4 linked regions of the Tamandua tetradactyla genome follow. The protein of the gene in region 2 purifies or fractionates together with the protein of the main gene of each other region. This does not show direct contact. Links are inferred from orthologs where the notes say so. Each region holds a gene or a part of one and is shown on either strand. Other genes may lie near its edges. The genes, in order: LIG3, RNF146, XRCC1 and PARP2.

Region 1 (7,276 bases), on a different chromosome or scaffold from region 2:
CAGCTCTGTGAGATCCTCGATTTTTTTTGTGGTGGCCCGGGCCCGTTCAAGTTTCTCAAACATGCATTTAATGTGGTACCACTCTTTCATATCACCGCCGGACTCTGAGAAGGGATTGGGCACCACTTTGCCAATTCGGCATACACCCTTCACGATCTTTTCTTTACATTTTTTGCAGCCAGCTGTGCCACGCTTGGCATAATCAACACAGAATCGTTGCTCAGCCATCTCACTGGGGCCACTGCAGAGTCCCACATGCAACCCTGGCAAGAAAACAAGGCAAGTGGTTCGTGGTTTTTGATTGCCTTGCTGGAATGACAGAACAGGCTTTTTTGTCAGAGGGCAGCGCCCATGAAGCAGATCTGTTTCTAGCCACTGGTTAAACTGTCTGATGTCAGGCCAACGATGTCGCTCTCGGAACAGGCACGGTTCTTTTCGGCTGAATGCACGGAAGGTTGGTGGAAAGAGGATCCTGAAAGCTAAAGTCATACAGCTGCATGAAAGGGTGAGAAGCAGAGTAAATGAGATATAAATGAGGAGATAAACTTCCAATTTGCTCAAAAGCCAAAGGTCTATATGGCCCAGGCTGACTAATCAAAAGTATTAAAAGTTTATTTCCTACAGGATGAAGAAGAGTTCCAGTAAATGGAAAATCCAGTTTGCAAAAGGTGTTTGATTAATATACACACGTATATCCAGTAATCACAACTAAGAGAACCCAAATAATACAAAGCTTATCCTGTTTTCTCAGCAATCCCTGAGACTCATAATGAATGATGACATTTAAGTATTATAAGGTCGTGAAGTTTCTTTTTAATCATTAAGAAAAATTACATATGTCCATAAAGTATTCAATGTGAGATATAACACGTCATCCTCTAGAAAACAAACCATTACATGGATTTGTGATTTAATCCAAAACCCTATTTTGAGAGGCAACTAAGTGGAGCCTGGAATCAGACTGCCTGGGTTCAAACCTTAGCTCAGCCACTTACCGGCTGTGTGAACTTGGTAGTTTCTTAATCTCTCCATTCCTCAGTTTCCTCATTTGTAAAATGTCGACAATAGTACTTATTCAAAGCATTGCTGTTCTAAGGGGTAAGCCCTTAGAAAAGAGTTGGACACATTATCAGGGGCTCAATAATGTTAGCTCTTATCTTCAATGAAGAAGTTACTTTAAACAGTGGTACCCTATGTACAATTATATGCCTGTCTATAATTCAGCAATTTGAGTCAGAGAATTCTGAAGTAACTGGATGACAAGAGTCAAAGAAACTGATAAATCAATCCAAATGGAAACAAGGATTATATCCAAATGGTATCTCCTTATCTTCTTATATTGTTTATATCTTCCAAAGTATCTTTTTTTTTGGATGTTGTATGGTGGGGTTACCACATTTCATTATTTTTCCATGTGAGTATCCCGCTATTGCAGCACTATTTTGTTGAATTTTTTATTTGTTTGTGTTTGTTGGTTTCCTGGTTTGGGAAGTGCACCGGCCAGGAACTGAACCCAGGTCTCCCGCACAGGAGGCAAGAATTAAAGTTCTAATATTTAAAATACTAGAAGTCATTTTCAAGTTTGCACACCGCTTTGTAGTGAAATTGCCATTGTATTATACAAAAACAGGCCTTTACCTACGGTACTGCAACATGGTACAGAGGAATGCATAGGGTCTTTCAAAAATTAGGGAGTCTTGGCAGCTTAAAGTCTGATCATACAGCATATATGTTATTTTAACTTTGAGAAACTTTTTAACTTCTCTGAGTCTGCGTTCTTATTTCTAAAACAGGGAAAATAATACCTGCCTCACAGGGTGGTTGTGAAAATTAAAATAAGCCCATGGATGGCCTGGGAGGGGGGCGGTAACATGGTTTAATCTCCTTGAAAATGTACATACTTGTAAATGTATTTTTGGAGAGAAGGTTCATAACTTTCTCATGAGATTCACAAAGGGTTCTACAATCTTCAAAAGTTTAAGAACTACAGAGATGATGTATAGGAAAGTACGGCAGGCCCATAAGAGAAGCTCAGAACCTGAAATCTTTCTTAGAAGACAGACCTAATTATGTCACGCCTACCCCTACGCCCCTGTAAATAATTAAAGAAACAGACTCCAGAGCATCTCGCAGCGCCCTAGTCTCAGCCTCAGAGGAGGCTCCTGAGGCTCTGGCCCACCGCGACGCATAAACTCCTTGGAAGGAGCCCGAGCAGGAAATCGCTGAGGTCTCAAAGAAGCGCAGACGGCCACGGGCCAGTGAGCTGCAGCGGGGTGGAAAGCGAAACCCCTGCAGCTGCCTTGCTGAAGGGGCCTCCCGCCACGCTTTCGCGGAGTGGGTAGGGACTACCGACCCGGGCGCCGCGAGCCGGCCTCAAGGAAGGGAGGAGGCGGGGAAGCGGGGTCGGGCGGCGTTAAGGCTAGACCCTCCGAGTCCCTCGGGATCAGCACGCTGGAGGCCGAGGGGACCCGCGGGCACAGCCAGCGGGGCTGGGGAAGGGAGCACGCTTCCACCCGGCCAGCGAACGCTGGGAACGAGAAAGGCTCCCAAATTCCTAGGGAAGCGCAGCAACTTCGTTGCGGGGAATATGCAGGGGCAGGGACACAGAAGAAGTCCCTGGAGGGGCCCCGAAGGGCCGCACGCCCGGGGATGTGAGCAGGCACTATTCCTCGCGCGGGTATCTTGGGGGTGCCTCAAGGTACCAGGCACCTCCCGGGTGGACTCCCGGGGGCCGCCACGTCATGGAGGGTGTGCCCCCGGGCTCCGCAGGCGGGAGGGGGAGGAGCCGAGGGGGCTGGCTCCCGGACCGCGCCGAGGTTCGGGTCCCCACCGGCTTCCTCCCCACACTGCCAGCCCCGCCGCGCCGCCCTCACCTGCCTTTCCGGCTCCAGCGCACACTGTAGGCCTTGGGTCCAGGCGCCCAGAGGCCGTGGGCAGCCCACGACGGTTGTAGCTCCTGTCTCTTTAAATCCGGGTCCTTGAGCTGGTGACAGTGCGCAAGCGCATAAGCGAAGGCCCAAGCTGCGCCGCAGGTCTCGGCGCTGGCGCGGGTCCCCGCCCCCGGCCTACCACGTGGGTCGTGGGCAGTTTGTGCCACGTGGCCCTGGTCTTTGGTTGTCTGGGTTTTGGGGCGTTCGGAACTGCGATCGCCGCCTGGGGAAGCAGAGATAAGGGGACGTGGTGGTGTCCCAAAGTGCGGCCTGGCTGGAACTTCTGAGGATCCCCCTGATTTTTTCGTGCTGTTAGAGATCATATAGTCCAATTGAGTTAAAGCGTATTAGTTGAGAAATTACATTGTAATGAGCTTGGGGAAGGCAAAGGTCGCGTTATTCAGCCGATCTCTCGGTGTTCCGCCTTCTCGTTATCTTGCACAATGCCTAGCATATAGTAAGTATTCAGTAAATGTTATTGAACTGCAAAAGGCGCAATGTGGATACGATAGATGGATAGACGATAATGATAGATAGGAAACTGTGTAAAGGCATGGTGGGGAAATAATCTCCTACATTGTAGATTGTTTTAAATATTATCTCTTTGAACTTCCAGTGATCTTTATGAAAGATTAGGATGGCTATTTTTACAAAGGGGTAGCAGGTTTAGAGAAGGTACGTGAACTCGTTCAAGGTCAGGGGACAGTTGGGCCAATTGTTCAGTAAGCAAAGGTCAGATCCTGGAAGAAATTATTTGCTGTGTCATAAAGAGCTTGGCCTTTATTCTGTAAGTGATGGAGAGCCCTGAAGAGTTTTACAGAATAGGAATTACTGTCAAAGTTGGGTAGGAGAGAGGGTAAGGCAAGGGTGCTAAGTGGCCTGAATTAGCTCAGGTAGCTGTGATGGAGAGGAAGGTGTGTTTTTGAGAAACATTTATATTCTAAACAGTCTTCTATAATCTGTACTGTAAGTTTGAAATTATTTCAAAATAAGAGGTTAAAAAATTACCTCCTGGATAAAATGTTCATTTGTCTAAAGAGGAAATGAGCATGACTTAAGTGAGCAAGTAGATAATGGTGCCATCAACTGAAATAGAAAATAGGGGAGGTAAAGGTATTTGGGGTAAGGATGTTTTGTTTTAGATATATTAAGTTTCGTTGATTGAGGTCAACCACGATTCCACTGTTTGCAATAGAGTAAAGCCCCTTTCTCTTTTCTCTACTTTGGTATAGCAAAATGATCTAGGTCTTTGGGGTTGATGGGTCAATGAAGGCTAAAGTACTAGTACTGGTAGTTGAATGATCCTGAAGGTACATTATCACTGCAATTAGAACATTGTTTTAAAAATCTCCTCAAATGTATCTGTCCTTTCTTCTGGCCCTGTGCTGTCCAATGCTGTAGCACTTAAAATGTGGCTAATCCAAGTTGAGATGTGCTGTGAGTATAAAATACACACTGATTTTGAAGACTTGGTACAAAAAAAAGAATGTTAAAAACTCAATAATATATGTATTTCAATTACGTGTTGAAATTATAATATTTTGGATATACTGGATTAAATAAAATATATTATTAAAATACATTTTGCCTATTTTTACTTCTAAAAATGTGGCTACTAGTAAATATTAAATTACATATGTGGCTCGCATTATATTTCTTTTGGATAAAGCACTGTCCTAAACTTCAAGCCTATTTGTGGAACGTGACCTCTGTATCTTATACATCTTTTTATCCCCAGTGCCTAGAACAGTGCCTGGCACATAATAGGCACTCAGCACATATTTATAAATAAATCAAGGAAAACCATGAGTGAATGGAATGAATGAATGAAACTTAGAAAGTGATGTCCCTTGGAAGGATGTTCATAATATAGTTTTCTGACAAAGTAAATGTGTTTTATGTACATTTGCAAAAGGTCTCAGGCTCTCAATATTTATTGTGCTTAATTAGAACCCCAAGGGACCCCTAATGTCTCTGTGACTCAGATCCCTCTCTGTGAAATGGAACCATGTGTGAGAGCCGACAGTTGCACTTCCTTAGGGAAGTAGGAACTGCTCCTAAGGAGAATGAGGTAATTTGTGATGGTGGGAAAAGCAGTGCTTTGGAATCACGTAAACCCAAGTTTGAATTGTGTTCTGCCACTAGATGTATAACCTCAGGTTCTATTCTTAACTTCTTGGGGACTGAGTTTTCCTGGTGAAGTAGGATTGTGGGTGATGATTAAGTGAAATGGCTGGTATAACTTGCAAACTGCTTCACACTTAGAAGTTTTGTGGTAAATGTGCATGCTCCTCCATTCCCCAGCCTAGACACCTTCATACCACTGCAAAGTTTTACCACTTAGTTAGTCATCAATCAGTCAGTAAAGTATTTGAGTTCCTACTCTGTCACGCACTATTTCAGGAGCTGGAATACAGCTGTAAAACAGAACAGACAAAAAGCCCTCCTCTTATGGAGTTATCAGGCTGATGTGGGAAATAAATATTAATAATACAGTAATAAGTAAAATGCATAGTATGTAAAAGGATGAGTGCAGTGGAGAAAGAGCAGATGAGGAGGATCAGATGTGCTGGGCAAGGTGGTGGGTTGCAGTCTTTAATACAGGTCAGGAAGACCTCATGACAAAGTGAAGGAATGAAGGAGAGAGCCTCATGGAGAACTCAGGGAAGGGGAGTATCAGTAAAAGCTCAGCAGCCAGAATGTGCCTGGCATGTACGCAACGGGAAGGAGATCTGTGTGGCTACAGCAGAATGAGTTAAGGGTGAGAAGAGTAGAAGGTGAGGCTAGCAAGGAAGCAAGGAGACAGATCCTTGTAAGCCATTGTAGAAACTTTGGCTCTTACTCCAGGTGAAATGCAACCCCATGGACTTTACTGAGTAGAGAAATGACATGATTCTGATGTATTTTAACAGGATCACTCTTGCTACTATGTAGAGAAGTTGGGAGATGAGCTGGGTGGCTACTGAAATAAACTAGGACAGAAACAAGAGTAGCTTGGGGGAGTGGGGAGGGTAAACAGTGGAAGTAGTAAGAAATAATCTGAGGCTTATGGACCCCAAGTGATGCCTGGATGGAATTGGGTACCTTTGAACCCCTTAAAATTTTATGTGAATGTTTGTGTGAACATGCATTTTTGGAGGGAGAGCTTTTATTGGAGTCTGATAGCTGTTCCATAGTCCTAACTAAGAACTATATTGTCAAATAATCAAGATATCTATTTCACCCAATCTCATAATTAAGTCCTTGCCTTAGACCTTTATCGTAAATTTTTCAGGACATTTATCCTGTTTGTGAGCTTCTCTTAGAGTTCCACCATCCCCTTTTAGACTGAATCAGTTTGGATTATGGTGTATTAGAGTGGCTAGAGCGAAGTACCTGAAACTGTTGAGCTGTGTTCAGTAGCCTTGGTTCTTGAAGATGATTGTATGATGATATGGCTTTTACAATCTCTGTATGATTGTGAAAACCTGTGTCGGATGCTCTTTTATCTAGGGTGTGGATAGATGAGTAAAAAATATGGGTGGAAAATGAACAAATAATAAAGGTTAAGATAAATTGGGTAGATGGAAATGCTGGTGGTCAATAAAGGGAGGGGTAAGGGGTATGGTATGTATGAGTTTTTTTTTTCTTTTTATTTATTTTTCTGGAGTGATGCAAATGTTCTGAAAAATGATCATGGTGATGAATGCACAACTAAGTGATGATATTGTGAGCCATTTATTGTACACCACGTATGGACTGTTTATATGTTAAGATTTATCAATAAAAATATCAATATTTTAAAAAAACAAAGACTATTCATTTAGATTCATCAGGATTGTTAAGAAGGAAAAAAAAGTCTGAGGGAATTGGGTAGATTCTGTGCGACCCTCTATGAAAAGCTTGGAAGCCACAGGCAGAGATAGGAAAGCGGCCTCACACCTTCTCCGTGGATTCCTTTTTTGATAAGCTCTGGTCTATGAACCACATAAATCTCAGCAGTGAGAGTTGATTTTACGGTTTGGTTTGCTTAATAGTCGCACAATTAAAATAAGCTGTAAAAAACAGTGATAGTGTTTGCCAGGATAAATGTTTAAAAAGGAACAGTTGCAGGAAGATATAATAATTCAAATCAGCTAGTGAGTCTTCTTCTAAATAAAGGCTGTGGAAGATGGTTCTTAACTGGAGGGATAATAAAGGCTGTGGAAGATGGTTCTTAACTGGAGGGATTTCCTGGCTTCTCCTTTGAATGTCTTTGTGCTGCAGCTGTCATTTGAGGTAGGAAAGAATAAGGAAGAGTCGAGAGGAGTCAAGGGTGCCTTTGGGAGTAGCTGATCCAGGGCAAAGACAAAGGCTTCTGGGGCTTG
Region 2 (7,397 bases):
CAGTTAAAATATAGAATTTTTTTAGTATTTGAAGGGTTCCTTAATTTCTCCAATTGCTAACAGCTAATTTTACTAGTATAGTTTTTACCCTTTATTTATTCAAAATACACAAAACAGGGAATGTTCTATTTAAAAGTTTTAAACGAGAGATAGGAAAAATACTTCAAACCTTCCAATCTTGGGTATACTAACTCAAAATAAAAACAGTAATAATTGCAAAAAGACCAGAAAAAGAAGTAGAGAAATCAGATGTTATTTAGCAGATGCATCTTAAGTTTCTTGAGGAGTTCCAAATTGATAGACGTAACTAAATACCCTAATGTTTCCATTTTTACCTTTCCCTATTATGTTCTCTTAAAAACTGAAAGCAGAGGCCATACTTGGAAACAGACCTCTCAGTCAAAACTCATTTCAGTTATATGGGCCCCCTTTAGAGAACTATTTTAGCACTTACCACTTCTCAAAAAAATTACTGTATGATAATCCACAACCTTTAACAATCTTCCCTAAATTTCCCTTAAAAAAAAAAACTGCAGCCCTTTAATTTTAATAAAACATTAGCAGTAAATAGGAATAAATAAATATTTTAAAATCATATCAAACACAGCAGTGTTTTTACAGCTGGCACCATTTGGTAAATAAGAAAGGCTAGGCTCTGTCCTATTCGTGCGACCTTGGTCAAGTCTTAACTCCCAAAGCCTAAGTTTCTACACTCTATTAATTCTGTAACACTAATTAACAGACATTTAACAAAAGGTTTGGTTTTAATTAACCCAAAAGGCACTGAGCCATGAACACTAAATACAGTCCATAAACAAGCACGGGTGATTGTAACCCCAGTGTCAGTTAATAAGATGGTTCCATACCCAAAGATTGTTCCTAATCCAAACCATCATTTCACAAATTCAAGTTTCTTAGTCACAAACAAAAACCAAACAGGAAAACGAAAAGGTTCGCCACAGTAAAACATTGTCCCAACTAACGGTACATCAGGAGTTTCATGTAGTGTATGGCCAGTACGTAAATGTTTCTAAAACAGATGAGTGTAGTGTTATGAAACAAAGAAAAGATTTAATTCTATCCTTTATTTCTACTAAGTCAAGAAATCATTTTCTTGATGCTTTAAAAAAAAAAAAGTGTCTTCTGACAATTTAAGTTGGTCGAAACTGAAACAAAAAGATTTAGCAGTTGACATATCCCCCAAAAGAGAAAATGTCATTCCTTTTCTTCCTCTTGTCCAATGACCAGTTATTTGGAGAAACAGTTTCCCTGGCGACCATAATCCTATCAAACTCTTAATAACCATAAAATAACAAAAAAACTTCAAAATTTTCCATTTGCCCACAACTTACACTGGCCCATTTGAGACATAAATTCTAAGTCCAATTCTGATGCCTGACAAAATGCTCCAATTTAAGATATACAATGTCCGAAGAAAGACAACCAACCTCTATTTTTAGTGTGGCAGTCACTCTTCCGGTTCTCTCCAAAATCAGATTTCCTTGACCTATTTTCGTGTGTTCAGAGTATTTGTATTTACTCAATTTTTGCGGTTCCTAAAAACATCAACAATCTTGTGCCACGAGGGTCTTCTTCTTCACTGGTTCTATACGCTACGTTTAAATCTAAATATAGATTGATTTATTAAAAAATAAAAAAACAGCCTTAAGTCTTCTAATTCTGTAATTCTGTACTGCTTTCAATGCCAATGTTATACTTTCACATCCCATTTAAACAGTACCCACACACGGGGGAGTGGGGGGTGCCAAACACTTGAAACATCACTTACAAATATAAAAAAAAAAAAGCATTTCCTAGCATTTCTCAGCTTTCTTCTCCCTTCAGTTCAGTATTCCAACACGACAAAAATATCACTTCAAATACACGTACTTTGAAAACTTGAGTTAGAAGCACTCGCTAAAACGACACTTCGGGAAGAGAACTGGCACCCAATACGAGAACGGCTAACCGGGAGGGGAACCGCAGCGGGCCAGACGTGGGTCAACTCAGTCCCGCGGCCGTGCGGGCAGGGCTGCTCGTCTCCACACTCTCAAAAGCCCTTTGCGGCCAGAAAACCCAACAGGACCAGCACGGAGACCCGTGCCGTCGGCGGGGACCGGGCCGAGGAGGGAGTCCGCACCCCGCAGCCGGGACCCAGCGGCCCGGCGACCCGGCCAGTGTCCCGACGCTTCCACAACCGTCAAACCGAGGAACACGCAGCGCCGGGGGTGACGAGGCCATGGCGGACGGATGGCTGTCGCCCTCGCGGACAAGACCCAGGGATCGAGAAGGAGGAGAGGGAGGAGGAGACAGCCAGACACCCGGAAAACGACCAAATCCATCCGAGGCAGAGGCAGCGCGGCGGGCCTCGCCTGACCCGAGGTCCAAAAGGCATGACTGCATGGGAAACCAGGAGCCGGGTACCCCGAAACCACCGCCGCCCCTCAACCTCGGGCCAGGAGGCCCCGCTGGAGGCCCGACGCCACCGCCGAGGGCGAGAAGGGCCCGCAGACCCCCACGGCCAGGACGCGGGCCCGGCGGGACAGGCCGCGCAGCAATGGCCGCGGCTCCACCTCGCGCACCCCGCCGAGGCCGGTTCCCGGCCGCCGCGGGCCACGGAGAGCCCGCCACAGTATCCAGGCCTGCGACAGCAGCCTGCGCGGGGGCGCGGCGAGCGTGGAGCTGTCCCGCGCCGCCTCCGCGCCGCGCCGGCCAAGGACGTCCGTGTACGCCCCGGCCCGACCCGCCGCCACCCCTCTCGGGCCGCGAACGCAGGGCCGCGGCGGCGCGGCACGGCTGAGGGCACGGCGCGGGCCGGCCGGCTCTCCCCGCACGAGGCACCCGGAGTGGGCTGTTCCCACCCTGCCCCCCACCAGGGCTTCGCCCCGACTCCCACCTCTCCCGCCACGGCCGCGATCACTTCGCAGTCTTTTCTCCTCGGCCTCGGAACCCGCAGCGGCCGGGAACGCGCGCGGACGTCACGTGACCGCCCGGCGCGCCGCGGGAGCGGGGCGGGGCCGCGCTGGGGGTGGGGCCGCGCACGGGCGGAAGCGGCGCCGCGCCGCCAGCGCCCCGTCCCTGCCTTTTCTGGGGACCCGCACTTTTGCTGTCTGCGGACTTCTCACCGCTTTCCATTGCCTTTTACTAGTCTTTGGGTGCCGGAGGTTCGGAAGAGACGTGCTGGCACTGGAGGGAGAGTCAGAGTGGAGGAAATGAGACGGGAGGGCCTGCAGGTCCAGCTGCTCGGAAAGCCGTTCAGGGCCCAGAGGCCTTGGGTTTCGTGGTCGAGAGCCCTCGGGGAAAGCCCTGCGCGTTCTCTTTCCAGTAAAAACCGGGTTTCTCGGACGCTACGGTTTATTCACCCTACGAAGCGCTCAACAGTTTAATCGAGAGGGAAAAAAAGGACCTTCCCTTCTGTTGGGACCCATTATGCGCAATAGAAAAGGGCATAGGCAGCTGGAGGAAGGATTTATCAGCTTAAGAATCTGAAGTTAGAGGAGAGGCAGCGTTTGGGTTGCGCGCTGTGGTTTTAAATATCATCGTTCTGGCAGTAGTCTCCATTTCGTTTTAGCATATGCAGTGCCTTTTTCGGAACTGAATAAATTTTTAAATTTATAGTAAAATGAAGAGGGTGGGAGGGAACGCGTTTTAATCCATAAAAGAGTATATATTTCTACATTCCATGGCAGCCTCCTTACTTGCAGTGATACGACGTTGGGGATGTCATTAGCTCTTTTATTCTGGCTTGGGAGAGCTCGGTGTCCTTGCCAATGTAGAAGTGTGTACGTTTTCTTTTGTTTCTCTGAAGTCCATGTATTTCCGGGTCCTTGCTCATGGCATTACTATGTAACCAGTATCTTAAAGGGTTCATCTATCTTGTTTAATGATGTTTGCTCTCATAAGCAAAACTGTTTTTCTTCTAAACTATAATTTTAGGAATATTGAAGTGTATATATGTCCTTCAACTTGAAGCTTTATTCCGTATCCTTATCCTTTCCTCAGCCATCAGGTTTTACCCCTCTATCTTACACAGCCCATGAACAGATAATAGCAAAACATTTCATATATATTCATAAATTGAAGCTTAAAGAGACAATATTCACCTTTATTTACAATGTACCAACCAGTGTTCTCAGTGCTTTACACATATAAACTCGCTTAATGTCACCATAAGCCACAAGATAGGTGCTACTGTTATTCCAACGTTTCGGATACAGGCACGGAGGAAAACAGTCAAAAGTCGTAGACTGGGGCTTGAATCTAGACAGGGACTAAAAGAGTTCACCTGGTCCAACTTTTCATTATACCAACTGGAGGAACAGATAAAACAGGTTAAATGACTTGCTCATGTATTTTGTGAGAGAAAGAGATGGGATCAGAACACAGGTGTTTCTGGGTCCCTCTGGCTTCTGCCCATCTCATTCATACCGACACTCACAGTCTTTGCCACCTCAGTGAATGGCTCTGTCCTTTCTTATCCAAACACGTCTTTACTTCCTTTCGTTCTCTTATGTTCCACATTCAGTTATAATCTGTTGGCCTTTCCTTCAGAGCACATACATACCCGACCACTTACAGCCTCTCCTACAATGACATCAGCTGTTGTTTGCATTATTGCAAAGCCCAGGAACTGGTCTTCCTGCTCTTTGCTCTCCTTTGAATCTATCTTCAAGAAAGAACCCAAAGTAAAGGTATTTGAAAGACAGTCAGATCATATCACGCCCATGACCTTGCAGAGTGTTCACTTCACTTCTTAGATGGCTGCACAAGCTCCCAACCTCAAAAGTCCTTCCAGTTGCTATTTCCTCTGCTAAGAAAACTCTTGCCCAAAATAGATTGCTCAAATGTCACCTTTACAGCCAGTCCTCCACTGCCACCCTATTTTCTTCTTCTTCTTCTTTTTTTTTTTTTTAGGTGCATGGTTCAGGAATCAAACCCAGGTCTCCCACGTGAAAGGCCAGCATTCTACCACTGAACCACCCGTGCACCCCACTGCCACCCTATTTTAAATCGCAATATTCCCCATTTCCAATATTTCCCATTTTCCATTTCCCCTTCTTACTTTTTCTCTCTAATACCTCTCACCATGTAATGAATAAGTTATTTTACTTATTCATCTTTAGTGTGTGTCTCTCCACTCTGGAATGTAAATCTCAGAGAGCAGAAATTTGTGTTCTATTTTGTATTCCAACAGCTGCGAACAGTGTCTGACACGTTTAGGAGAGGCCCTCTGTAAATACGCATTGAATGAATGCACATGCACATCTGCATGTATGTATGTGTATATATGCACATATACGTATTTATATATTGAATAATATATAAATAAAAAGTGAACTTCTTGGCATTTGTCACCAACCACATATAAAAAGAATAATTAAATCTATCGAACAATATACACCCTATCCAATCAGTCACCTAAATGGAAGATAGTGATTAGTTTCTATTTCTGGATAATCCATGACAGAAGCTCCCAATATTGCTAGAGGTGTGTATTAGTTAGGGTTCTCCAGAGAAACAGAATCAACAGGAAACACTTGCAAATATAAAATTTATAAAAATGTCTCATGTAACTGTGGGAATGCAGAGTTCTCCACAGGGGCAGGCTGTGAAGCTGATGATTCCAATGGAGGGTCTGGATGAACACAGGAGAAGCTCACTGGCTAAAGCAGAAAGAAAGCCTGTCTCCTCTGAATCATCCTTAAAAGGCTTCCAGTGATTAGATTAAGTATCACTCATTGCAGAAGACACTCCCCTTGGCTGATTACAAATGGAATCAGCTGTGGATACAGGTACGTGATCATGATTTAATTCTATGAAATGTCCTCATCACAACAGAAAAGCCAACACTTGTCCAACCAGACAAACAGGTACCACAACTTGGCCAGATTGACACATGAACCTGACCATGACAGTCCACCCCTTGTCAACTTGGCAGCTATATGTATCACCTTAAAGCATACCTAATTTCTAAATAAAAAAAAACAATAAAACACATGTTTTTTCTTTCACCTAACAATATTCAACTGTCCTACATATAACTGGAAATACATTAAATCTCTCCAGAATAAGGTGCAAGTCCTTGGGTAATATTTATTCTTAAACTTGATATCTTACAACATGAACAAAACAGCATTACAGTCCTTGTTTCTGTAACTGATCATGTGATTGTACTTCATATTTATCACTACCTTCTTCAACTACCCATTCCATGTTCCCTTTACCCTCAGCAAGCACTTCAGCTGGCCGTAGTTCTTTGCCTGGTGGGGTGACCCAAACCTTCATTCCTGAAGTTTCAGACCCCTTGGTAGTCCTGCCTGGATTGGGTTGTTGCAGTTTTCCATTGATTTTAATTACAGGGCATGGTAGTACTAAAAGACGCCCTAGGGGATCTCCTATATTCCAAGAAGACTCTTCTTTACCTCCACTATGTAGTTGCAGTCCTATTTCCCCCTGATAGTCAGGGTCAATCACCCCAGTCAATAATGTAATCCCCTTCTTGGCTTGTTGAACCAAGGGCATGAGTAGCCCAAAGTGACTAGGTGACAGTCTTAGATTCCAATTCAATGTAATCATTGTTGTTTCTTCTGGTGGAAACACATCCCATTTTGCAACTAAAACCTATAGACCAACAGAGTTCAGGGTCACAGGGGCAGGAAGCAAAAATTTACCTAGTGGATCATTAAGGATAACAGTGAGTGGTACCACACCCATTTCCACCCCTTGGTTCCTGGACCCATGGATCCTGGCTATGGGAGAAACAGCACCATACAGGGGATGCTGATTCAGAGCATATACAGCTTCCTGGAGATCATTACCCCAGCCCTTCAAGGTATTGCCACCTAGTTGGCACTGTAATTGAGATTTCAAAAGGCCATTCCACCATTCTGTCAATTCAGCTGCTTCTGGATGATGGAGAACATGGTAAGACCAGAGAATTCTATGAACATGTGCCCATTCCCACACTTCATTTGCTGTGAAGTGTGTTCCTTGATCAGAAACAATGCTATGTGGAATACCGTGATGATAGATAAGGCATTCTGTAAGCCCATAGATGGTAGTTTTGACAGAAGCATTGCATGCAGGGAAAGCAAACCCATATCCAGAGTATGTGTCTATTCCAGTTAGAACAAATCGCTGCCCCTTCCATGAAGGGAGTGGTCCAATGTATTCAACCTGCCACCATATAGTTGGCTGGTCACCTCAGGGAATGGTGCCATATCGGAGGATGAGTGTGGGTCTCTGCTCTGGCAGATTGGACACTAGCAGGAGCTGTAGCCAAGTCAGCTTTGGTAAGTGGAAGTCCAAGTTGCTGAGCCCATGCATAACCTCCATCCCTACCACCATGACCACTTTGTTCATGAGCCCATTGTGCAGTGACAGGAGTTGCTGGCAAA
Region 3 (7,375 bases), on a different chromosome or scaffold from region 2:
TCTGAGCCTCCAGCTCCCCTGCCCCTGTCCCCTCACCGGCCTGCACGTTGCCAGCAAAGTAGATGCAGTGGGTCTCCTGGCCAACACAGCGGGCTGCCTGGGTCCCGGGGCAGGTCTCCTGAAACGGCGCGATGCAGGCGGGGCAGTGGAGCCCGTTCTCAGTGCGATTGTTCTGGGGAGCTGGGGGCGTGAGAGTGGGGTGACCGTTTAAGCCCTTCTCCTGAACTCAGACAACCCCGGATGCTAAGGGACATTGTACAACCCATTGTACAGGTGTGGACACGGAAGCTCTGAGCCAGCCAAGTGCTTTCCCGACGCCGCGGAGCCGAACAGCAGCAGGTTGGGCCAGAAACCGCGGACTCTTGGGGCGGGGCTGGAAACTGCTCGCGGCGCCGCGCTGGGCGGGCACTTACGGGGCACGGTGTCGCGGTTGCAGCCGTCGCTCTGGCAGCAGCGGGCGTTGGACACCATGTAATCCTTGGGGCCCATGGTGGTGGACACGAACCCCGAATAGCAGTCCCTGGACTTCATGCAGGACTTGTAGGTGTTCACCGACTGCTGGCCCTCTGCGGGGTGGGGCCGGCTCAGCGACGCTAGCTGACCCCACCCTAGCCTCGAGTCTCCCGTAACCCAACATCTCCCTGCCCTGCGACTGCCTGGGATAGTCTCTTCCAGCTTCCTCAATCCATACCTCCCTCTCTGCCTGGAGTGGTCTCTTCTAGTCTCCCCAAATCATCTCCCCTTGTCTGCCTAGGGTTCAGTTTGGAGTGGTTTATTAGGTAGCTCTCTCTACTCATTACATTCCCTGCCCCAGTCTTCCTTTGGTGGTCTCTTGCAGTCCTCTACTGCAAACATCCCTGCTGCCTGCCTGACATGGTCCCTTCCCACCCACCCCAAGGCCATCCTCTCCTCCAGCACCTTGCTGTCTTTGCCAGGCCAGTATGGCCACTCCCCTGTCCCTGTGGTGTGGTCTCTTCCATCCTCCAAGACTTTCATCCTCCCCCCACACCCTGGGGTGGTTCTGCCCAACAAACCTTGGGCTGCTGCCCCACTCCCCCAACACCTATCCCCCTCTCTGTCTAGGGTGGTCTCTGCCAGTCTCCACAGCCTACCCCTTCTCCGACCCATGGTGGTCTTTTCCAACCCAATCCAAAGGTTTTCCCTCTAGGCGCCAGCCCATAGGGTTTTTTTCCTCCTAGCCTCCCAGAACCTCTTTTCCTATATCTGTCTGGGGTGGTCTCTTCAAGCCTTTCAGATCCGTCCCCCAGGCCCCAACACTTGCTGGGTGGATGGGATGGGCGCAGTCTTCAGTCCCACCTTTCTCCCTCTCTCCCTCCAGTGGGGCTGGTTTCTTCCTGCATTCAGTTACCCCTCACCTGCCATCACAGTCTTCCCTCCCACACTTTGCCCCATTATCACTCCTGTGAGGAAGGTCCCCAGTGGTCTCTTCCCCTGCAATCTCAACCACCCATGGCTTCTCAGGTCTAGGATGGTCTCCACTTGAGTCACACACCTCCTGTCCCTTACATTTTACTCACCAGCCTACGCACTTGCCCCATCTCTACTTCTCTCTATAATGATTTGTTCGATAATTCGTGGTTATCTTCCCCCTTCCGATCGTGGTGGTCCTTTTCACTTTCCCCTAATCCCAACACCGTCTCTCCTCCTCTTGCCGGGAATGTTCTCTTCCAGCCCATGCCACCCTCACCATCCCTGGGGTGATTCCAGGGGATTTGGGTTGATTCCTTCATCTCCTCTAGAATCGTCTCTTCTCTGACCCTTTGACTGCCCCTCACCCCCAGGGCTCTCCCCTCTTCTTTCGCTAGCTTATTAGATTCTTCCCTTCTCATCATTTCTCTGTCTCCCTATGTTCTTCCTTCACCTCCTCCCATCTACAATAGTCTCTTTATTTACCCTGCATTCTTTCCCCCATAGACTTCTTCCTCCCTTATTGGAGAGTCTCATTTTTAGAAATCCCTGACCACAATGGATTCTGATGCCCCACTGAATTCTTCTGCCTCCACCTCGAGATATTCTTGCCCTCTTCCTGCACATTTTCTTCCTGCGCCACTCATTCCACGACAGTGATGACCATCTCCCCCGCCCCCACCCCCCAGCACATGGTATCTTGTTTCTACCCTGATGGCACCTTTGGTCCAACGCCCACCCTCTTACTTGTGCTGGACTCCCCCACGATGACCACGCAGGCATCCTTGCCTGCCTCGCATGTCTTCAGTTTTCCACTGCACGTGGGCCCGGGGCCCTTACACACCTCACAGCTTAGTGGGCACCCTGCAGGGGAGAGGGCGGGACTGTAGCCGAGGTCTGAGAACCACGACTTCCACTTCGGGGCCCTGAGGGAGACGAGGGCAGAGGGCACAATTTGTTGGTCCTTACGAAGGAGGGTCCTGCCATCTCCCAGGTTTTTCATGGGCGGAGCATTGGTCCAAGGAACTGTCCAGAGAACTATGCAGAGCCCTGACAGGGACGCAGTGGTGATGCCTGCAAGCTGCTTCCAGGGGCAGGAAACGACTCCACCACAGAACCTAGATACCTAATTACAAGGCTGGGGGCTTTGGATGCTAGGGTCCTCTGAGAACGCTTGGGGGCTGGAGGGGCGTGGCGAAGGCTTCCAGGGACTTTTGTGAAGCTTCAGGAACAGGTGATTCTGCAGTTTGAGACCCTCCCCCTTGCAGGTACAACTGGAGGTCTTGTAGTCAACAGGAACTCAGGTAGCAGTACCTGAGGCTGGGGTCTACATCCTAGGCTAAGGAGGGAGAATGACCTCTGGAAGGGTGGGCACATGGACCCCTTAGCCTGAGAGAGGGAAGCCCAGGTGTCTCCTGGAGAAAGTGGAGCTGGTGGCCTGGGAGAAAGGGAGTCTCTTGGTCTTTTCTGTTTTTAAAATTAGATTCCTCTTTCTAGTCCTGCTCTTATCTAACTTCCTAGAATTCTCATGTCTTATTTTGGGATCTGCCTGGGGTACAGGAGAATCAGGGCCCACCAAGCCCCTTCCTCTCAGGGATTCAATCATGTGAGCTTTTCTTCCCTTGGGGTTTCCAGGCTTTCTCTTCCTTTAGCCTCCTCCATTAATCCGAGCTCTCAAGATACTTCCCCTTTCCTCCTTAAAGACCCTGTTGAATGCTCTTCCACAGTCCCCTCTTTCCTGGGGGTGTCCTGAATCCAGGCCCCCAGCAACTCACCAAGGCCCAGAAGAGTGCAGAGCAGCGCCAAGGCCAGCAGGAAGGTCCTGGGACTCTCCGATGGCCTCATGGTGTGTCACCAGGCAGTCCTGGGTCCCCAGCCCTTATAAGACGCTAAGGAAGGGCGGCCCGGCCAACCTTCACCCTGAGGCAAGAAGGAGCTGAGGTCAGAGCGCAGGGCAGGCCTCACCAGCCCTGGGGTGCGGGAGGCGGAACCAAGTCCAAAAGGGACCTGGGCATCTGGTGTCCAGCCCCTTCTCCACAGGTCCCTAGTGGCCTAGACTTCCAGCTCTTTCTTCCATCAGGACCCAGAAGGTCACTGCCCTGTTTCCTCTCACATTCCCACAGTCCATTTTCTTTGCTGGACGCCCAAGGTCGGAATGGAGTATTTGATTCCCCGGGGTGGGGGTTGGGGGGGGGGTTGCACCGGTTTCAAGGTCTGGGATTCCCTCTTCCTTTGTTCTCTTTCCAAGGAGGCACCCAGCATGGGTGGGGCCCCACCTGGGAGCGCCAGCGGGAGCATCAGCGTGTCCAGGCTCGTTCTGCGGGGGCCCGGGAGCCTTGTCTCCCTTCCCTTCTCCTTCACCTGCTTCTGTATTTGGACTATCGCCGGCTCCGACTCAGCCCACGGCTGCATGCTTGCACACGGGAACTGAACAGAGGGATGCTTGTCAGCGGCCAGGGCCAGGCGCGGTAGGAGACTGATGCCCACAGGCCACATATTGGGAAACTGAGGCAAGGGTGGAAACACTGTAGGCTGGGTGAGTGCATGCTTTGTGTTTTAGATCTGTGACCTACTCTCTTGTGGTCTCAGGCATAACCTGAAAGAGCTCTTAGGCTTTTATAGGGGCGGGGAGACGGTGGGATGCAGCCGCGGAAGCCAAGACTCCAGATGACACTCTAAGTCGGGTTTTGCTGTCTGGCTTTCTAGGCTTCAGTATGCGTGGTGACTGCATCGCCCAATGAGAATGGCGAATTTCTACTAGGGACCAATCTTGGAGGCTGCTCCTGTTGCTGGGCGCCCAGAAAGTGCATACGTCACCAAGAGGCGGGACTAGAGGGTGGAGTGGCCGGAGAGAGGCGGGACTAGAGAAAAGTTCGTTGCTAGGAAACTCAGCACCGCCTACTGGAGTGGCGCGACTGGGCAAGCGCGCTGTTGACGCGCGTGCCGGCGCGCCGCAGTTTGAAAGGCCCGAGCCCGGCGCGCGTGCGCATTGAAGTCAGCGCGGAGGAGCAACCCCTCCCCGCACCCAAACCCCGACCCTCCTTCAGCCTTCAGGCCCCGCGAAGTCCAAGACGTTGGCATGCCGGAGATCCGCCTCCGCCATGTGGTGTCCTGCAGCAGCCAGGACTCGGTGAGGGCCAGCGTGGGGGAGGTGGGAATTGCTAGGGGGAGGGGGGCTCCACAAGAACTTTCTGGGTTTAAAAGGGAACTTGAGGGAAATCTAAGAAGGGCCAAGTGGAAATTTCCAGGATGCTGTAAGTGAATCCTCGGAGACTTGAGGAATAGGGGAATTTCCGGACATCTCTGGAACTTCCGGAGAGAAAAAATGGAATAGGGGCGTTCCTTGGAGAGCAATTAGGTGAACTTCCAGGGCAAAAGGTTGCAGGGGGAATTCAAGGCAGGAGTGGGGGATTAATGGGGAGCTTATCTGACAACTAGCAAAGGTCTTGAGAGGGTCTGGCCCTCGGTTCCGTGTCCTAACTCTTCCATTTTCCACTCTTGCCCCCAGACTCACTGTGCAGAAAACCTCCTCAAGGCGGACACTTACCGAAAATGGCGGGCTGCCAAGGCAGGCGAGAAGACCATCTCTGTGGTCCTCCAGGTGACCCTGCCCTTCCCCCCCCACTAGGAGTCTGGAGACCCAGGGTCCAGGCCCAGAAGAGAAAGTGACTCAGCCCACTGCCAGTTGGCTCAAGGGCTGAGTCACTTTCTCTTCTGGGCCTCAGCTTTCTTACCAGGAAAATGGGCAGCATGGTACTGGTACCCCTCAGGAGGGGAGAGAAGGATCCCCAGGACTAGGCCAGGGACAACCATAGGAATCAGTGTGTAGCCCCAATAGATTGCTCCTGCTTTCTGGGTCTCGGTTTCCTCAACCCGAACAAAGTGAATCAGTGGGCTCAGGGATGGAAGATGTCCCTGAGCGCATCTAAGCCAATCAACGACCATTTTCAAGATAGGAAAACTGAAATATGGGGGTGGGGGGAAGTGAACTGAAATGCTGGCCAGGTTTTTTCTGAGTACTTTTTGCTCATACTCTCAATCCAGGCCACAATCCTGTGAGGTTAGAGGGAGGCAAACCTGAGGGAGGAAAGGGTGGCCTGACTTGAAATGGTTACACAATTCCAAACAGGCTGTTCCTGTCAGGGATAAGAAAATTATGGGAGAAGAGAGCTAAATACATATTAAGCATTTACTGCTGGCTAGGTGTTTTATATGGATTCAGTCATCACAAAAGTTGTCACTAGCAATAAATGACAGAGGCAGGACTTGAACTCACACCTGAGTACTGGTGTTATTTACCACTTTGCCAACTGCCTTGTATTCTCTAGCTTTCTTGATTTGGGCCACATTCCTTAGTTCTGAATGTTGGGGTATTTGGGGGAGCGATGGGGGAGGTCAGGCAGGACTTGCATGATTGCATTTGATTCTGATCGTATTCTCTTTCTCTGTCTTGCTTGCTGATTCTAAAAAATTTTGGGGTCACAGAGGTTTTTTTGAGAATTTGATAGAAGCTGAGGATTCTCTTCCCAGAAAATAACACAGACTTACAAAATATTCGAAATGAGTTGGGGAATTTAAATATCTCCTGAATCCTTTGCATAGTAAAAATGAGAGCTAACGTTTATTGAGTGTTACAACCTGGCAGTCACTGTTCTAAGCACCTCACAGGAATTAACTCATTGACTCCTCATAAAAACCTCATGACCTAGGATCTATTGTTCACATTTTACAGATGAGGAAACTCAAGCTGAGTGAAGTTATGCAACTTGCCCAAGAGTCAAATGTTTTAAACTGAAAGAGGTACAGGTTGCTTACAGTTTAGTCTTGGGACCTGAATTCAAGTTTCTCTCTTGCTCACTCTGTGACCTTAGGCAAATTGTTTTATTTCTCTGAACCTGTTTTATCATCTGTCCATTAGGAATAATAAGATCTAAGCCTAGGGTTGTTGTGACAGTTCGGTGACATAATGTCTGCAGAAGTGCTCTGTCAACATGCAGGTGTTTACGTAAAGCTGCTGGGCTCTCTTCTGATCGGGTGATACCAGGGAAGTCACGTGCAGTCCTTTGTGCCTGTTGTAGTGAGAGCAGATAGACAGGCAGGAAAGAGTACGTGGAAGGTGAGGGAGCAGGAGGAGCTAGGATGAGGCATAGGATTCTGTGACCTGAAAGACTGAGGGGAAAGGTGCAGCTGTCACTGAAATGGGAAACCCAGAGAGGGGGCAGTTTGGGAAGGTGATATGTTTAGATGGGACATCCAGGTTTGATGTGACTTTGGGATATCCATGGAGCGGCATCCAGGAGACAAGGAGGGATTAGATGTGGAGCCAGAGACGGAAGGGGCTTGTTGGTACAGGGGCAGACTTAGGAATGAATGGATTCATTTGTTTGTTTGTTCATTCATCTATGCAACAGATATTTATTCAGCACTGTCTAGGCCAAGCACTGCTTTAGGTGCTGGGTTTATATAGCAGTGAACAGCACAGGACAAAAACCATCTCAGTTCTTGTGGGACTTCCATGTTTGTAGGGAAAGATTGATGAACAAACCAGTAATTAAACTTAAGTCAGATGATGAATGCAGTGGAGGGAAATTAAGTAGTTTGAGAGGAATAGGGAGTCCCTCAGCAGGGGACGGGACCATGGTGAGTGCTGAGAGTTTTCATTTAAATAGAGGGTCAGAGAAGGCCTCCCCGGGAAGAGACACTTGTGGGCTGCCTGGAAAACCACTGCAAGGACTTTGGCTTTTATGCTAAGATGGGAGCCACTGGAGGGTTCTCAGCAGAGGAGGGACAGAATCTGACTTAAATTTACCCAAGCTCCGTCTGGTTCCCATGTTGAGAACACACTGTTGCAGGCAGTGGCAGAAGCAGGGCCTCCAGCATTTCAGCGCTTGTTAACTTGGTCCACATCCGAGACCCTCCGGAAAATCTGATGGCCTCTGGTGGTTGC
Region 4 (6,903 bases), on a different chromosome or scaffold from region 2:
ATGGAAATACTAGTGGTCAATGAGAGGCAGGGTAAGGGGTATGGTATGTATGACTGTTTTCTCTTTTCTTTTTATTTCTTTTTCTGGAGTGATGCAAATGTTCTAAAAAATGATCATGGTGATGAATATACAACTATGTAATGATATTTGTGAGCCATTGATTGTACACCATATATGAAATGTTTGTATGCTAAAAATGCATGTGCCTGTACATTGTCTTATCAATAAAAATTTTTTAAATCCCATCAAATGTCTAAAACCCCTTCATGGCATTCTGCATTCCAAATTTTAATACTCATAACAACCTGTTACAATAGTCTCGTTAGCTGCTAATATTAAAATTTTGTGCACAGTAAAAATCATTTTGAGAGTTATTTAAAAGTAGATTCCTGAGATACACTTCCTGAGATTCTAATTTAGTGGGCTGGTTTCAGCCCTATTATTTTAATAGGTACCTTCAGATGCTTCTGATGGGTTTAACTGAGGTCCACCTTTGGAAAACAAAGACTAGTTCAGGATGTTATCACTGCTAAAATGAGTAGACTCCTGGAAAAGGTAGCACTTTTCAAACTTTTCATTTATAATACATTCAGAATGAAGAATATGAGAAGAGCATTTGTTAGTAAATAAAAGTTAAGCATACTATTTGCACTAGAAAGTCCACATCTGTACTTATGCCCAAAGAGGCAATGATGACCCTTGGTTGTAATAGCAAAAATAATAATAATAATAAAATAAAAATTACTATGCTTATCCAAAGGTGAATCAGCAAATCATAATATAACTTTTTCATCAAATACTACCCAGCAGTTACGGAGAATGAGGCAGATTTGCACAATCTACCATGGAATGATCTCCAAAGCACTTAAGTGAAAAAAGTTAAGTTGCAGAATAACACATGCAATGTGCTCACATTTTTTATAGCACCCTTCACAGAAAGGCAAAATAATGTATTTTTAAATGTGCAGACATATGTCTATGGATGAAAAAAAAAATGGTTTGGAAAGAAACACACTAAGCTATTAATAGTTGTTACACCTAGGAAAAAGATAGTGGTTGGGGTGGGTCTTCTTCTTTTTAAGAATCTGAACAAAGAGAATGCATTGATTTTTAAACAATTAGATAGTACCCCACCACAACCAAAATAAAGATAGTGTACAGGAGTACTTTTTGATAAAGGAGTGGGAAGAGAAAAAGAAGAAACCCCTAACCCCCTAAGGCAGAAGAAGACAGCCTCCAAAGTCTAAAAGAATATGGCACTGGATGACTAACCCCTAAATTAGCCTAGGGCTCTAGAGATTGGACCGTCCATGTGTTCACCAACCTTACCCCCAGTTACTACTTTTCCTCTTTGCTTAAGCCTTAGGCCTCGCCATTTTTTAGTATCTCTTGAGGATCCTCTTCCCTACAAGGTTGTTGCAAAGGGATCCTCCACATCTCCTTTCCTAGTTATTCCATATTTCTGAAGACATGAACTCAAATTCCTTTAAAGGTGTTTCTGATTCATGATTTTACTAATCACTTCTGGGAAATAAACAATACAATTTATATCAAAATAAGATAATATCAGAAAGCTGTGGGCTTTGCTGCACTTAATGCAAGAATGAAGACGATTCTGCATAATCACATTTTTAAAAATTCCTGGTGTAATCACTCAGAACCTTGATTTGTAGATCAAGGCAGATCTCAAACCCATGTCATGGTCATATGTGGCAGTGCACAGCGACAGATGTATTCCATGTTGAATGAACGCTAGCAGACACTGGGTTCCCATTGGGTCGCATTCTCAGATAGTCACTGCCCCTTGGCAACAGCTATTCACCTGGGTAGCCAATGAAAATCTTCCTCTTAAGGTGCTGCACAACGATAATCTTAGACATGTTCTGTGTAAATTGTTATCCTTTTCATAATACTTTCCAACTGCATGGAATAAATGCCTTAAACTCTCTGAGCCTGAATTTTCTTTCTCCTCTGTATCATGGGGATAGTTAACATCTTCCTTCCTAACAAATATACAAAAGAGTCTATTCAAATGACTAGTTCATAGAATGTGCTCAATTCATGGTCAACTTCCTTATTCATTCTCCACTCACATTCATAGAGGAAGTAAAAAAAGTAATTACCTGATGTAATTATACTCATCGCATAATAAGCATTCAGTAACTGTTATCAGTACTAAAATTAAACGAGGTATTGTATTTACTTATATAAAGAAAGCTCAATTAAATATTAGCTACTTTTAATAATAATTTCCATTTTGATACATTTTCCTACTCCCAAACTAATGCCTTTTAGACCTACTCTAAACTTTTATTTGTGCCATAATTAAGTCAAATACAAAAGGCTCTAATTTAGGACTGAAACAGATCAACCAGTACAATACACTGTGACATTTGCTAAGTGCTATTTTATTACATTCATTCCCAAATATTTTATACAGTTTAATACTATAAACGGTTTACTTTCTAAAAATTTTATTTTCTTGCTGTCTAAGTCTCTTTTATAAAGAGACCAATTATTCTACGTATTATTAGGTACATTATATATGTATACAACCTTCCATTCCTACTAATTTAAAAATTAATTCTGTAGTTTCTTCTGGAATTTTTATATTCATAACGAAATGACATGAAAATAATGAGATTTTTGTTTTCTTTTTTCAAAAGTTTATTGTATCTTTTGAACAAAATTTCTCAATTTTAATAAAATCGAATTTATCTTATGGCAATAACTTTTGTGTTTTAAGTAAACCTTTCCCGACTCCAGGGTATTAAAGAGTTAATTCTATTTTCTGCGCAGGGTTTCCGAGTTTTATTTTAGGTCGTTCGTCCTTGATCCATCGTAGTTCACAGGCGCAGAGAGCCATAGCAGGGCAAAGCAAAACCCGTTGGACTGCGGAAGCTCAAGTCTTGGCTGCCTCTCCAGCGTCCCCCTACACCACTCCCACTCCCCGTTGCTCTGTGTTCTGGCCACCCTGCCTTCCTGCTTCACGGGCTGATTCTTCTGATGCACTCAATTTACCTTAGTGCAGAGCTCCCAATCTCCCTGACTCGTGTTCCCCCAATACAACACTCCCTAGCACTGCCTGCTTCTCCTTAGTAGCGCTTTACTGCCACATTTTTACATTTGCTTGTGTGATTACTTGATTAACGTGTTCCCAACTAGACTATAAGCTCCAAGACTTATGTCTATTTGGGCTAAACTACTGTAACAAATAAGTAACTGTTGAATTAATGAATATCCTAATTTTGAACTATCCTTCCATACTTGGGATAAAATCTACTTGTCTGTGTGGCTTTTTTATTACGCTGCTGGAATTTATTTGCTAATATTTAATTTAAAAGTCATTTATTAATGTATTTAAATTGAACCCTCATTTTCCCTTACCGGGGACTATTATAGCCTAACAATATACAAGTGTTGTCTGAGAATCACCAGTATCAGTTAGTTGGTTTGCTGGTCAAAAATGCGGAGCTCTGGGAACGTCTCCCCTACCTCAGAGGGTCTGGGGCGGGGCGCGGTAATGGGCTTTATAGTATGCAGCCCTGGGACTCTGACGCATTCAAATACTAGAAACCCCCTGACCTGAAGGACCTCTCTTATGGTCTCTGGATTTAATACAGCCTTACATACTGGCACCCCGATGACCACGTTTCTCTCCCCGTGGGGCGTTCTCTCGTTCATGCATGCCAGATTAATGCGAACTTGCCGCCCTGGGCCCCTCCTTGTTCCAAGAGGTGCTATGCAGTTTCGGGCCTCAGCACTCCGTCTCCCCTAGACAAAGCTTCCATCACCTTCGTAATCACTCAGTATTTATCTGGCAGCTGTTATAGACAGAGATATTTTTTTCTAGAAAGCAAAAAGAAATAAAAAAGGACGGGGGAGAGTAGTCTGAATTGGGTTATGAGGCCCCACTACGGGGTACCTCACCTCAGCCATTGAACTCTCTGGAGTGCTGGCCGTGAGTCTGTTCCAAGCTCCGCCTGAGGAGGCATCCGCCGGGCCCTACCGGGGGGGGCGGGTCCACGGCATCTCCTGCCCAGTCTGCCCTCGCGCGGAGCCCCATTCTCTGGGAACTCACCTCCCCGTATACAGGGAGAGCCCTGTTAGGGCCGCTGCTGGCCCTTGTCTCAGACCTTCCCAAGGGACGTTGCGTAGAGTGACGTGACGCACTCCGCTCGTAGCCCCACCGATGAGCTTCCCTCCGCCCTGTAGAGAGAAGAGGGTGTTTGCCGGATTTATAAGATTCCCACTGCTAAAGACATTTCACAGTTATGGTGACTTCCCACAACACTTGGCGATATGCAAATATCACGGAGTTGGCCCTGAGGCGCGGCGAGACGCACGCGCGCTGAGAGTTCCCGCCTGCTCACCCTGGGTCCAAGGTTCCTGAAGGCGGGTTGAAGACTGCAGTGTTTGGGTGCCATGGCGGCTCGGCGCAGGAGGACCGTCCGCGGACGCGCGCCAGGTTCGGAGCTCAGTGTGAGGGTATTGAATACGGGGAAATCGGAATAGGAAAAGGAACTGTGCCCCTTGCTCTCGGCCCTTCGCTTTCCAACACTCCCTGCCCCGAACTTCGTAGTCTACCAAACTAGTTTTGTTACTAAACTATAGTTTGGCTTTTACAGAGCCTTTTAGATTGTGGAATTGTGGATAAGAGCTTGTCGGCCTGTGTCACGTAACGCTTGCTGTGTGTGCCACGCACTAAGTACCTGTCATCGAATTTATAAAACATCCATTGTGAGATACACCATTCTTTTATATATCGTTAAGAAAATAACTTCCGATTAGCCGTGATTCACTGCTAATATATCACCTATTGTAAGATGCATGTCAGTTTCAGAGATGTTAAAATTGTATGAGCCTTGAAATTGATGAGGTACAGTACTCTGTATCATGTTCTGTAATGCATAAGCTCACCCTATAAATTATATATGATTATCATCCTTCGAGGTGGAAAATCAAATACCTTGTCCAGGTTTCCACAGCTAGAGGAGGAAGAGTTGGGCCAGGCAGAGGCTCCAAAACTACTCTCACTGCCTCAGGTAGATTGAGGATAGGTATTTAGAGAACCCAAGGGCGTAAGTAAGCAGAAGAATAAATCCTGAGTGATCATGTGGTGAAAAATAAATCATGAGCGATACAGACAGTGTAACATTGGGATTGCGTCAAGGAGATGGGTCCAGAGCCACAGAGGAAAAAAATTGTTTCTGTAATTAAAGCCATGGAATGGTGAACTCGCCAGAGTCTTCGGGCTTCCTTTTATTTCATTTCATTTTGTTTTATTTAGTTTCTTATGGAGTTTTTACTCAGATTGTAATTAGTGTGGCGATTGTTGTGTCTTTGGTAACTTTTACAAAACTATCTTAAACCATTCTTTAAAAGATGATATTTTTTCCAAGTGGAATCTGAATCAGTGTGTCCTCATTCTTTTGCTTCTTTCTGTGCCCATTCTTCATATCCTAAGCCTCTGTAGGGTTAACTGAAACCGAGAAAATCAGTAATGGGAACATAGCTGCAGAAGATTCTCCTCCTGCTAAGAAAACTCGCAGTTGCCAGAGGCAGGGGTTGAAAAAGGAGCCTGTGGCTGGAGGAAAAACTGTTGATGGTGACAAGATAGAAGGCAAGCAAGGTCAGCTTCACATGTGGGCCAGGGAGGGCACAGGCCAGCAAAGGGTCTGGGGGAGGTGGGAATATATGTTGTTCTTTCAACTCTTATTTCTTCTTTCCTTAAAAATATTATTAATTTCTCCATCCTCTGTGTATAACCCAGGACTAATCTACTTTGTCAGAACTTCGTTTTTATGTGTTTGAGATGGATTGAAACCTAGGCAGAAGTTCAGGATTGCTTGGGAAGGGCCGAATTAATTATGACAGTGTTTCATCTAACCATGACAGCTACTTTTGATTCCCGTACAAGTAGATATGATATTATTTTTTTCCTCAGAATCTATGAAGACCTTGCTTTTAAAAGGCAAAGCTCCCGTGGACCCAGAGTGCACAGTCAAGGTGGGGAAGGTAAGAGACACTGCAGCCCATCCTTAATCCATTGATACCTCAGAGAGCAGTGTTCTTCTGTTATTGAGATTCTTGCCTGGGTCATCGCTAGTATTGTTTTTAGAAATCTTCTTCAAAATATGGCTAGTGACTGATTTTCTCCAAATCTGGGGGCTGAGAGTGGTGAAGTTTTGGGTTAATGATTGAGATATTTATAACATGGTTAATTTCTGGGGTAAACCATCAGCCTTTGGTCCCTCATTCACTTTCTCAGTCAGAAAACTGTATCATTATTAAGGAAGAATCTTCCTCTTTGTTCAAATGGGAGAATGTGCTTTAGAATGTCTTGAGTTACTGATGGTTGGGAAGCGGATTTGAAGAATACAGAAGAAAAGCTGCCTCTTCAGCTGACTTTCTTGAACTGAAAATCCTTTGTTTCTGTAATGAGAAAAAAAGCAGCATGTTATATAATAGTGATGGGCGGTGTATAGGAGAATACATGTTTGCATTTCTTTCCCCAGAAGATAGAATAGGTAGATGGTAACGGTGCTGAAGAAGGCCACTGTGATGGTTGAAGCATAAGAAAATTCAGAGCCTGACTTATGATCTGATCAGGGCCGAGACGATACTAATGTCAGTTTTTCCCCTCTCTAGGCCCATGTATACTGTGAAGGGAATGATGTTTATGATGTCATGCTTAATCAGGTAAGGGGAGAAACCATTCTATTTTTGGAAGTTATCTTATTATTATTGATAGAGTTCCGAATGCCCAGATCTTTAATTTTGAAGTTCTTTATATTAGTCATACTTTCCTAGTACACTCTGCCTGATAGTGAATTCCTCTATGAAAAGCAAATCTTTTTGCAAATTTCGTGTCTTTTCTAGAACCTGTGAACTCTGGTCATA

The links.
Region 1: the proteins of RNF146 (region 2) and LIG3 purify together in Homo sapiens (co-immunoprecipitation; 3 studies listed by BioGRID and IntAct, counting the BioPlex papers as one, with this or other methods). This does not show direct contact. The link is inferred for Tamandua tetradactyla from reciprocal best matches to the Homo sapiens genes RNF146 and LIG3.
Region 3: the proteins of RNF146 (region 2) and XRCC1 purify together in Homo sapiens (co-immunoprecipitation; 3 studies listed by BioGRID and IntAct, with this or other methods). This does not show direct contact. The link is inferred for Tamandua tetradactyla from reciprocal best matches to the Homo sapiens genes RNF146 and XRCC1.
Region 4: the proteins of RNF146 (region 2) and PARP2 purify together in Homo sapiens (affinity purification with mass spectrometry; 4 studies listed by BioGRID and IntAct, counting the BioPlex papers as one, with this or other methods). This does not show direct contact. The link is inferred for Tamandua tetradactyla from reciprocal best matches to the Homo sapiens genes RNF146 and PARP2.

The regions. Positions count from the first base shown.
Region 1 is NC_135332.1:46,372,413-46,379,688, forward strand, and holds the start of LIG3 (DNA ligase 3), read right to left. Parts: upstream 3,017-7,276; 5' UTR 2,878-3,016; exon of another isoform or gene 2,874-2,877; intron 494-2,873; 5' UTR 490-493; coding exon 1-489. UniProt on the Homo sapiens protein: Isoform 3 functions as a heterodimer with DNA-repair protein XRCC1 in the nucleus and can correct defective DNA strand-break repair and sister chromatid exchange following treatment with ionizing radiation and alkylating agents.
Region 2 is NC_135331.1:188,536,865-188,544,261, reverse strand, and holds the start of RNF146 (E3 ubiquitin-protein ligase RNF146), read right to left. Parts: upstream 3,005-7,397; 5' UTR 2,897-3,004; intron 1,541-2,896; exon of another isoform or gene 1,449-1,540; intron 1-1,448. UniProt on the Homo sapiens protein: E3 ubiquitin-protein ligase that specifically binds poly-ADP-ribosylated (PARsylated) proteins and mediates their ubiquitination and subsequent degradation. May regulate many important biological processes, such as cell survival and DNA damage response.
Region 3 is NC_135342.1:21,214,638-21,222,012, forward strand, and holds the start of XRCC1 (DNA repair protein XRCC1), read left to right. Parts: upstream 1-4,368; 5' UTR 4,369-4,507; coding exon 4,508-4,558; intron 4,559-4,936; coding exon 4,937-5,029; intron 5,030-7,375. Other genes in the region: PINLYP (phospholipase A2 inhibitor and Ly6/PLAUR domain-containing protein), read right to left, coding at 37-180, 414-566, 2,176-2,292, 3,204-3,273. UniProt on the Homo sapiens protein: Scaffold protein involved in DNA single-strand break repair by mediating the assembly of DNA break repair protein complexes. Negatively regulates ADP-ribosyltransferase activity of PARP1 during base-excision repair in order to prevent excessive PARP1 activity.
Region 4 is NC_135340.1:36,325,333-36,332,235, reverse strand, and holds the start of PARP2 (poly [ADP-ribose] polymerase 2), read left to right. Parts: upstream 1-3,880; 5' UTR 3,881-4,425; coding exon 4,426-4,468; intron 4,469-5,467; coding exon 5,468-5,632; intron 5,633-5,947; coding exon 5,948-6,018; intron 6,019-6,651; coding exon 6,652-6,702; intron 6,703-6,903. UniProt on the Homo sapiens protein: Poly-ADP-ribosyltransferase that mediates poly-ADP-ribosylation of proteins and plays a key role in DNA repair.